3 linked regions of the Kluyveromyces lactis genome follow. The protein of the gene in region 1 interacts with the protein of each later gene in a biochemical or structural test. Links are inferred from orthologs where the notes say so. Each region holds a gene or a part of one and is shown on either strand. Other genes may lie near its edges.

Region 1 (4,232 bases):
AGAAATAACCCCATTATCGACTGTGTCTAAATCCCAAACGTTCAAGGATTCATATGGTACACTTTCTGGAGCCAAATACGGATTAAATAGGGCATCCCAAGTGTCATCACCGGCAAAGAATATTTTCTTGTTATGCAGATAAAGCTGTTTTATTAAGTTATCCTCATCGATCACATCACCATTGAAATTCGATCCTGCATCTATAAATGTAGGCAAGGAACCTGTTGTCAATCCCTTTAATCTTTGTAGCGTAGTTGTGGGAGGATCAGCCAAAAACTTCAACAAGACAGAATCCGTTGAGTTATGGGCCGTCTCATAAAGAACTTTCAAATTGTTATGATAATTAGGGTTGTACTTGGCATGATTTTCATCTACTGGAATAACGAAATCAAACCTCAATGCGTCCACTATTAGTAAAACCATCTTATCGTATTTAGCTTCGAAGGGAAGCTGGGGATCAAGTTCTGCAACGTTATCCAACACCGTCCTTGTTAAAAGGAACCCTTTTGCGAAAAATGCTATGGAAATAAACTGCAATACAGCCAAAGAAGCAAGTAATAGTATGTACAGAGTGTGCGTAGACTTGAACCTTGATATCCGATAGCTCATTCGACTGGACCTCGTTTGAGGCCCCATTATGCTGAGTCTAATTCTCTCTGCCCGATCTCGTTCATCACTAACAGTGGGATTCATCACTTCTTACCAGTTTCCAAACGGGACAAAAACACAACTAAACGAAAGTACAATAAATTCACGTTGAATAATGATATTGTGCAGAAGAATTGAGTCACACTGGCGAAAGTGGTTCGCTTATCTCTCGCCTCTGACAGAGTTCTTGTTACCACTTTATTTCATTTTAAAGGTTAATTTCTTTTAAAACAGAACAATTGTACATCACGTGATCATTGTTCCCTCTTCAAATAATGCAACTCCAATTCTGATCGGCGAAGATACTGACCATTGAGCTGAGTGGATCCATGGTATTATCAACGGTGGCAAGGGCTCATTAGAACCTTGTTTATTTCAATTTGTTCTGTTTTCTTCTTTAGGAAATGTAACTATGTAACCAAAAATGTGTAAAATCTTAACGAGTTTCACTTAGTTCACTCAAAGCATCTCAAACAAGATAACATTATCAATTGAAAGGTGATATATCAGGGAACCTAGGATTATTTAGCTGCTTAGTAGGTTTGATAAAATTGCTGAATTAGCATTTGGATAATAGTGGCAGTATATATCCATAGAACACAGGAAGACAAACGGTTAACAATATTATGTCCTCACCTCCAGCTCAACAACCAAGTTCACCAAATTTGTTTTATGATCCTAGCTCTTCTCCAGCTCCTCATGGTACACAGGATTCCCAGGCATCTCAAGACCGAGGCGTAGGCTCTTCTCCGTTTCACTATCCTTCGTCTTCGTCAAATGCCACGCAAGAGACGGCTCGCGCCGCTCCTAGTAGCAGTGGTTTAAGATCTAACAATTTGAGATCTGATCTATTGAACTATTCATCCTCTCTATCCTCAAGTGCAAGAGAGGGAAGACACTCTAGATCTAGAAGAGGCGAAATTAATGCATCTGACTTATCATCTCCCAGAAGAATTGTCACTTTCAATAACCTTTCCTCATCGGATAATGGATTTTCATCATCATCGAGACCTGCATCTGAAGCTGCTGATCAACCTTTGAAGATCATCTGGGGTACCAATGTTTCGATCCAAGAGTGTGGTAACAGTTTCAGAGAATTTTTGATGTCTTTCAAGTTGAAATATAGAAAGGAGCTAGATGATCAGGAGATTTTCATCAACGAAACAACAGACCAAGAGCTGTATTATGTGAATCAATTGAATCAAATGAGACAACTCGGTACTTCAAACTTGAACCTTGATATCAGAAATTTACTGGCTTATAAACATACTGAAAAGTTGTTTCATCAGATTCTCTATTACCCTCAAGAAATTATAGCTATTATGGATCAAACTGTTAAAGATTGTATGGTATCCTTAGCACTTGATAATGGGTTAGAGAGTTACTTGAATGAAATTGAATCGAAGTTGTTCAAAGTGAGACCATATAATGTGGAAACCAAAAAGGGTATGAGAGAGCTTAATCCTAATGATATTGATAAATTGGTGAGTATCAAAGGTTTAGTTCTAAGATCCACACCTATTATCCCAGATATGAGTGTTGCATTTTTCAAATGTAACGTATGCAATCATACTGTAGAAGTTGAGATCGATCGTGGTATTATTCAAGAACCAGTGAGATGTCCCAGAGTGGTCTGTAATAGCCCAAACTCCATGGTTTTAGTTCACAATAGGTGCACTTTCCAAGACAGACAAGTGATAAAGTTACAAGAAACGCCTGATCTAGTCCCTGATGGACAAACTCCACACTCTGTTTCCCTATGTGTATATGATGAGCTGGTTGATTCGTGTCGTGCTGGTGATAGAATTGAGGTTTCAGGTATCTTTAGATCTATTCCAATCAGGTCGAATCCAAAGCAAAGAGCCCTCAAATCTCTATACAAGACATACATCGATGTGGTTCATATCCAAAAGGTGGCTAAAGATAGAGTCGGTGTGGACACTTCTACTGTTGAACAACAACTCTTGCAGAACCAGATTGATAATGTGGAAGAGATTAGAACTTTGAGTAGCGAAGACATTAGGAGGATCAAAGAAACTGCTCGCCGATCGGATGTCTATGATGTTTTGTCACGTTCCATCGCACCAAGTATTTACGAGTTAGATGACGTCAAGAAGGGAATCTTATTACAACTCTTTGGTGGTGCTAATAAAACTTTCAAGAAAGGTGGAAGATATAGAGGTGACATTAATATTCTACTATGTGGTGATCCTTCGACCTCTAAATCTCAAATTTTACAATATGTTCATAAGATTGCTCCTCGTGGTGTTTACACTTCGGGTAAGGGTTCCTCTGCTGTTGGTTTAACTGCTTATGTTACAAGAGATGTGGATACTAAGCAACTGGTGTTGGAAAGTGGTGCTTTAGTTCTCTCTGACGGTGGTGTGTGTTGTATTGATGAATTTGATAAGATGAACGATAATACTAGATCAGTATTACATGAAGTTATGGAACAACAAACAATCTCTATTGCAAAAGCAGGTATTATTACAACTTTAAATGCTAGAACTTCAATTCTGGCTAGTGCCAATCCTATCAACTCTAGGTACAATCCTAATCTTCCTGTGACTGAAAATATTGATTTGCCGCCTCCATTATTATCAAGATTTGATCTCGTTTATCTAGTGCTTGACAAGGTCAACGAAGCGTCTGATCGTGAACTCGCTAAGCATTTAACCAGTTTATACCTGGAAGACAGACCGGATTCTGTATCTCAAGGTGATATTCTACCAGTTGAATTCTTGACAGCCTACATCAACTATGCAAAACAAAACATTCACCCGGTAATAACTGAGTCAGCCAAGACTGAACTTGTGAGGGCATATGTCGGTATGAGAAAGATGGGTGATGACAGTAGATCAGATGAAAAAAGAATTACCGCAACAACAAGACAGTTAGAAAGTATGATTAGACTTTCAGAAGCTCATGCTAAGATGAGGTTAAGTGAAAGAGTTGAACTTGAAGATGTGGAAGAAGCAGTGAGACTGATAAAGTCTGCCATCAAAGATTACGCTACGGATCCTAAAACTGGTAAAATTGATATGAACCTTGTACAAACTGGTAAATCGGTTGTGCAAAGAAAATTGCTTGAAGACTTGGCGAGAGAAATTTTAAAGATATTGACAGAAAGGACAACAGACACAATAAGTTTCAACGAACTAAGCAAGCTTATAAACGAACAATCGCAAGATAAAGTGGAGAGTATCGAATTATCAAACGCTTTGACAAGATTGCAACAAGAAGACAAGGTAGTAATCTTAGGAGAAGGTCTAAGAAGATCAATTCGTTTGAATGGCCGTGTATGAATAGATATTATCAAGTCTAGTTTTTCTGAGAAAGCCTCTACATAGTTTGCAAAGGGCTAAATGAGAATAACGACCTTCCGCATGTTCTGCTTATATACATACGTTCTGTGTATATATCATCGTGAAAGTGTTTGACATTATAATAGCATATTTAGTTAGAGTAGCCTAAAGAAAGGTCCCCCGAGATCCATCTGTTGATCATTTCCATAGTAGCTAGTGGTTGATAATATGGAACCGTATGACCTGCTTCGAATACTCTGAGGAAAGTAAAGGGTCCGT
Region 2 (2,684 bases), on another chromosome or scaffold:
CCAGTTTGAGTAGCTTGCGATGGTGGTAGACCTATGGAATTATCATCGGTCAAAGTCCTGAAGTCAAATATATGGATATCAATCCCCTTCTTGAAAACTGTAGTCACAAGAACTGAATCGTTTGCGGAAGTGACTTCCTCTTCCACGTTGGAAGATGGAAGCTCATACCAGCTTTTCGATTGAGCCGCAGCCGATCTTTTGAATCGAGGTAAAGATGACGATATCAATGAACGATCAGTCAAGATATTATATACCAATGGGTTATTATCTGATAATTTGGACCCTGCTAAAATAGTGGTAATTAGCCCAGTAGACGAATGTGGTAGAACTGATAGCGTTTTATTCATGATTTCAAGGTCTTCCATATGACATTTCAGTTGATCGCTGTTACTAAGAATCTTATCCTGATTCAAAAATAATTGTAGAGATTCTACCAAATTCTTCTCAGTATTATCCACTTGAATAGATTCTAGTTTCTCCAATTGATTTTGATAACTGTTTCTCAATTCTCGATATTCTTGTGACAAATTTACAAAGACATGGCTGTTTGTATGTCTTTCCACAGACGGCAATCCACCATACTTGCTGATAAGGAACACCTTGTCGATATTTATGGGCAAGTTACTCACTAGAGATGATAAGAATCGAGATGGATCGCCAGCCAATTTCTTAAAAGCTTCCTTCTCATGGTACTGATATGGCTCAATAATCGGAATAATATGCGGGTTCAAAATCGGAAGTTTTACGTCAATTGAGCCACGTTCACCGATGGTAATGGGATCTAATACGATTATTGACTTCAGACTCTGATCATGCAAATGATTGTCCAAACGCTGACTTTGGTATGATATGTCTTGGCATAGCGGGTCTACTATTAAAATTGGTCTTAGTCCGAGTGTTTGAATTCTTGACACAGTCTTGCTAAACCCACTAAGTACGTTATCTGAATATTCGGACAAATGTCTCAAAAATACAAGACAGTAGTGATGATTATTCTCATCGGTATATTTGTTCAAATAGTCTTTCGCTTCCCTTTTAGTCACTGTAGAATTCAAAACGCTCATAACCAAACTCCTGCCATGAGCATTAGGTTGATGGTATCTGACCTCTGTGGTCAAACACCTAATCCATGTTTTGATCATAGCACTAGCCCACAAAATGTGCCTTTGGACGTTATATGATGAGATCAAACCATTTATCTGCAAATATGGAAAGTGTATAAAACCATCATTTATTCTAGTTTTATCAATGAGTCAAGTCATCAGAGAAAACTGCCAGTTTAAAGCTTTAGTTAGTCTTTCCTGTTTTTGTTTTTCCTGTGCTGGATTTCAATGTCAAGATTGAACATGGAAAAATAATTGAAGCACAGATATCGATTGGTCATAGTCGCGCATTGAAAGCACTATGTAAGGAAGTAGTGAGCTTGAGGACACTATAGATTAGCAACTCCAACCTGAAATAGAGATGGCACTACCGAGAGATCTATCAATAGGATTTTCTCCCCAAGAGATACAGTTTTTAATTGAAAATGAACCGACACGAATTATGCCCAGAATCACTACGAGGAAGACCAAAAAACAGCTCGCGAAGGATCCTGGCGCCCAATGGTCACTGATCACATGCGATGATTCTACGGTAAATAACATGGTTGCAATGAATAGTTGCGAAGTCACGTTATGGCTGGCTTTACTGTTAAAACAACAGGGAAAGTGTAACGTCGTGGTACCCAGTTGGCTGACGTTACAACAGCTGGAGAAGTATTTAGATTTTGAATTGAAAAACCCATCACGATTCTCCAATCTACCCTGGAATTGGCTAGTGGTATCGTCACTGCTGTTTGCCAGATGCAGCGATGATTTTCAGGATCCAGTTCATCTACTGAGATCTAAGGTCCAAGATCTGCGAGAAGTTCGTTTGGGAAAAGTCAACAAGGGTTTGCAGTACCTGAACGAATCGCATTTACAGCTAGAGAACTTGTCCTTGATGGAAATCAATGAGATGAGACCCTATGCGTGTGGTATCATGGACAAACTGAGGACAATTCATGACTCCAGTAATGACACCACGTGATCAATAATATAATAACCTTTTCCCATTGAATCCAAAATTCCATTCACGAGGTTTCCACCAGTCCCTCCCCTTAATCCAACCTACATGGTTATATGATAACACAGTTGACCATAATCACTAGAAAAGGTCGGGTTACCATGTAAGTACAGGCCTATCAAATAACACATATATTACATACCCTACATGTACCCGCTTCACAGTTTGTAGTAATTCGAAACAACTGATCCATCCCGAACATTCACGCACTGCTTAGTTCTTATTTACGTTTGTGTCGCAAACATGCCTCGCGGGCATGCCTTGCGTGTGCACCCCACGTTCTTGCTTCATCATATTTGTTGTTCTTCAGGCTATTTCGGTTCCTTGCATTGAACTACGGGTATAACTTACAGAAAACGACACAAGGGGGGAACACAAACACGGAAACGAATCACGTTTCTTCAATATTACGTTGGGAAAAGAATTTACCGTAGATAGAAAACAATAACAGTAGAAATTGAGCAGGATGAACTCATAGAGAGCAGCATGGTTGCGTTGATAACTTCCCGCTACGAAGACATTTTACCCGTAACTCTGTGTACCATGTCATAAATACAGCTCAGCATGTTTATAATATA
Region 3 (2,885 bases), on another chromosome or scaffold:
ACTTGTTATCTTTTTTAGTCTGTTCAGTAGAATATGATAAGTCCGTCCTTGGGATAGGAATAATTTTGACATCGTCATCCTCTTTTAATGATAAATCTAAGGTTGATATCAGCTTAAGTTGGCCATTGGTGCTGGCCGCCAGGATGCTATGGTCATTGAATTTTGGAATTATAATTGAAAGTACCGGATAGTGATGATAATTAGTGGAAACAATATTTCTTTCCACCTGAAAGCTATTATTTATTTTGACTGTTCGCAGTTCATATAAGATGAGTTTTCCTGTATAGCAAGAAAGAACGACGGAGGTAATCTTAGAATTAGGATTATCAATAAACTTGCTCCGTACAACATTCTGACCTTGGAATAAAACTGTATCAAGTACCTCACCAGAAGAGACGTGTGTGATTTGAACTAAAGAGCTTTTCACGTATTTGGTTACAAGATGAATCACAGTAACCAGTAAATTATCTAAGACGTCACTGGAAATGACCCTTGCTTCAGAAGTTGAATCAATGGCAACTTTTGGTGAAATTGATAAATACATGCTTATTTTCCCATCACCAGCGATTTGATGAGAAGATGACTTGAGCGCAGCCGCTTCTATAGTCTCCTGTAGTGAAAATGTTTCTTTCTTCAACGTTGCGTAGTCTTCCGCTGAAACGACATTTCCGAAATCAAACACATCCTTTTCAACAACTTCTTTATCCTCCTTGGTCTCTGTAATATCTGAAGTCGATGCTTGCTGTTCTATAAGATCTTGGGAAGGTAGATGTCCATCTTCCATAATTTCATGTTTCCCGTCATATTCATCTGTCTGTATTCCGATATCATATGTTATCACAGCCTCCTTAACAGCGCTCAATTCAAACTCATTTACATCATCTGTTTGCACTGAGATCTCAACAGTTTTTACTTCTTTCTTGACTTCAGATTCGTTGTTATTTATGGAATTGGTGATATGGGAAATGAACGGAAGGGTACAATCTGCTATCTCTTCATGTTTCGAATCAATTTTTTTCCTTTGCAGCTGAAGAGCCTCTATTTTCTGCTTCATCAACTGTAAGCGCTCATTCTTGTCCATATTTCTGGGTATATTCCCCCTGAGGTTGGTGTTGCTGATGAGCGCTTCTTCACTGACGCGTTTTATCTTGCTTCATGTATGGATTTGTTAAGCGTAAACAAAAGATGATAAATAAGATTTGAGTATTATCAAAAATACGATGTTACAGTAAGTTGGATGAATTTCACAATAGGTTGGAGGATAACACATTGCAAGTAAGTCCTTCTTGTCTGAATACACCTTTACAGCAATTATAAAAGCCACCCCGGTGTACTATCCGAACACTTCCTCCGCTTTGAGTCCTGGTGGTAGGATCATATTTCTTTAGTACAATGAGCATTGATATTGACGACATTCTAGCTGAGCTGGATAGGGACACTACAGCTGTTGAACAAAATGCTTCTTCATACCCAGACCAAAGCGATCGAACTCAAGGCAATGATGTCTCTCAGATAAGACCAGCAGATAAGGCGGTTGACCCTGTGGCTCCCACACAGTTTAACAAAATTGACGACTATCAAAAGCTAATTACACATTGGAAGAATGAACGTATGAGTCCGGAGCTGCTTCCATATCCACATCATCTCATGACTAGGACATTAATAAGGATTCAAGAAAGAATTGAACTAATAGAAACACTATCAATGGGATACTTAGAAGATAATCAAGAGTTAACTGTCGATTCAAAGCTACCACTTTTATGCATGGAAGCAGAACTTGAGAGATTGAAGTTCCTAGTTCGATCTTTCATCAGATGCCGGTTAAGCAAAATTGACAAATACAGCATTTACCTAAGACAACAATCCGAACTACCCAATAATGCGGGCCTCAGCAGACTAGATTTATTGATGTCCAAAGAAGAGGTGAAGTACCATATGAAGCATTCTGACATATTACTAAAACTGTTTAACAACGCAGTACTTAAGCACTTACCAGAAGAACTGCAAGCCGTTAACGATACTGAGGGTTCCATCAGTATGATTGATGAACCCGATTGGAATAAAACTGTATTTATACTAGTTTGTGGTGGGGTAGTTGACGAAAGTGGTATTGATTCGAAATTAACGACCGATGATGATGGAAAACACTGTTACTCAGTGATTATTGAAGATTTAAATGAAGAAATTTACTTATTAATCGGGGCAGTATACGTAATACGTTATAGTGTAATACGAGATCTCATGACTGAGGGACGAGTAGTTTTAATATAATGAAAATTCTGAACAGTATTACTGAACCTATGACTCTTCGAAAAATATAGGTTTGTAACGAATGTTTGCCAGCAATAATTTCTCAACAATGTTATTGCGAACACAGCATGTTTTCTACCTAGTGTTATTGACTGCTGGTCTATAGTGCTTTTGAACCAATTTGTATTAGTATTACATCAATTAACGTTGAAAAGTCTATCTAGCATACTCAAAGTGTACCTATTTTTCATATTTACTGTATGCAAAACCCATCCGGCAAGCATATGATCAGCTCAGAGAAATCCTTCAATATCTGGTTTCTGGGCTTGGGCAAGCTTAGCCCTTTTGGTTGTCTGCGGTTGAGATTGAGATAACGACACTGAATGTATTCTTTTCAATCCTGTAGTCGAGTTCATCTCAACGACAGAATCTAATTCCTCGATATTTTGCGAGTTGGCATCTATGTTACTGGAAGAGGACTGGTTTATATTAGATTTGGCATGTTGTGATGATCTAGACTTCATAAATTCCATAAACTTAGGGACTAAAGCTAACTCCTCCTGTGTCTGTTTATGTAGAAGTGTCTTGTTTGTTTTCTCATTGGTATCCAGCTTCCCCTCGTGGAACAAACCAGT

Evidence for each region.
Region 2: the proteins of MCM4 (region 1) and PSF2 form a complex in vitro, tested with the Saccharomyces cerevisiae proteins (2 studies listed by BioGRID). The link is inferred for Kluyveromyces lactis from reciprocal best matches to the Saccharomyces cerevisiae genes MCM4 and PSF2.
Region 3: the proteins of MCM4 (region 1) and SLD5 form a complex in vitro, tested with the Saccharomyces cerevisiae proteins (2 studies listed by BioGRID). The link is inferred for Kluyveromyces lactis from reciprocal best matches to the Saccharomyces cerevisiae genes MCM4 and SLD5.

Annotation. Positions count from the first base shown.
Region 1 is NC_006039.1:1,537,428-1,541,659, reverse strand, and holds MCM4 (MCM DNA helicase complex subunit MCM4), read left to right. Parts: upstream 1-1,274; coding exon 1,275-3,953; downstream 3,954-4,232. Other genes in the region: mannose-ethanolamine phosphotransferase GPI13, read right to left, coding at 1-693; KLLA0_C17490g (S10 family peptidase), read right to left, coding at 4,105-4,232. UniProt on the Saccharomyces cerevisiae protein: Acts as a component of the MCM2-7 complex (MCM complex) which is the putative replicative helicase essential for 'once per cell cycle' DNA replication initiation and elongation in eukaryotic cells.
Region 2 is NC_006040.1:557,984-560,667, reverse strand, and holds PSF2 (DNA replication protein PSF2), read left to right. Parts: upstream 1-1,464; coding exon 1,465-2,070; downstream 2,071-2,684. Other genes in the region: ARG2 (acetyl-CoA:L-glutamate N-acetyltransferase), read right to left, coding at 1-1,142. UniProt on the Saccharomyces cerevisiae protein: Functions as part of the GINS complex which plays an essential role in the initiation of DNA replication by binding to DNA replication origins and facilitating the assembly of the DNA replication machinery.
Region 3 is NC_006042.1:1,023,586-1,026,470, forward strand, and holds SLD5 (DNA replication protein SLD5), read left to right. Parts: upstream 1-1,392; coding exon 1,393-2,271; downstream 2,272-2,885. Other genes in the region: PAC11 (dynein intermediate chain), read right to left, coding at 1-1,081; serine/threonine/tyrosine protein kinase RAD53, read right to left, coding at 2,544-2,885. UniProt on the Saccharomyces cerevisiae protein: Required for DNA replication. Functions as part of the GINS complex which plays an essential role in the initiation of DNA replication by binding to DNA replication origins and facilitating the assembly of the DNA replication machinery.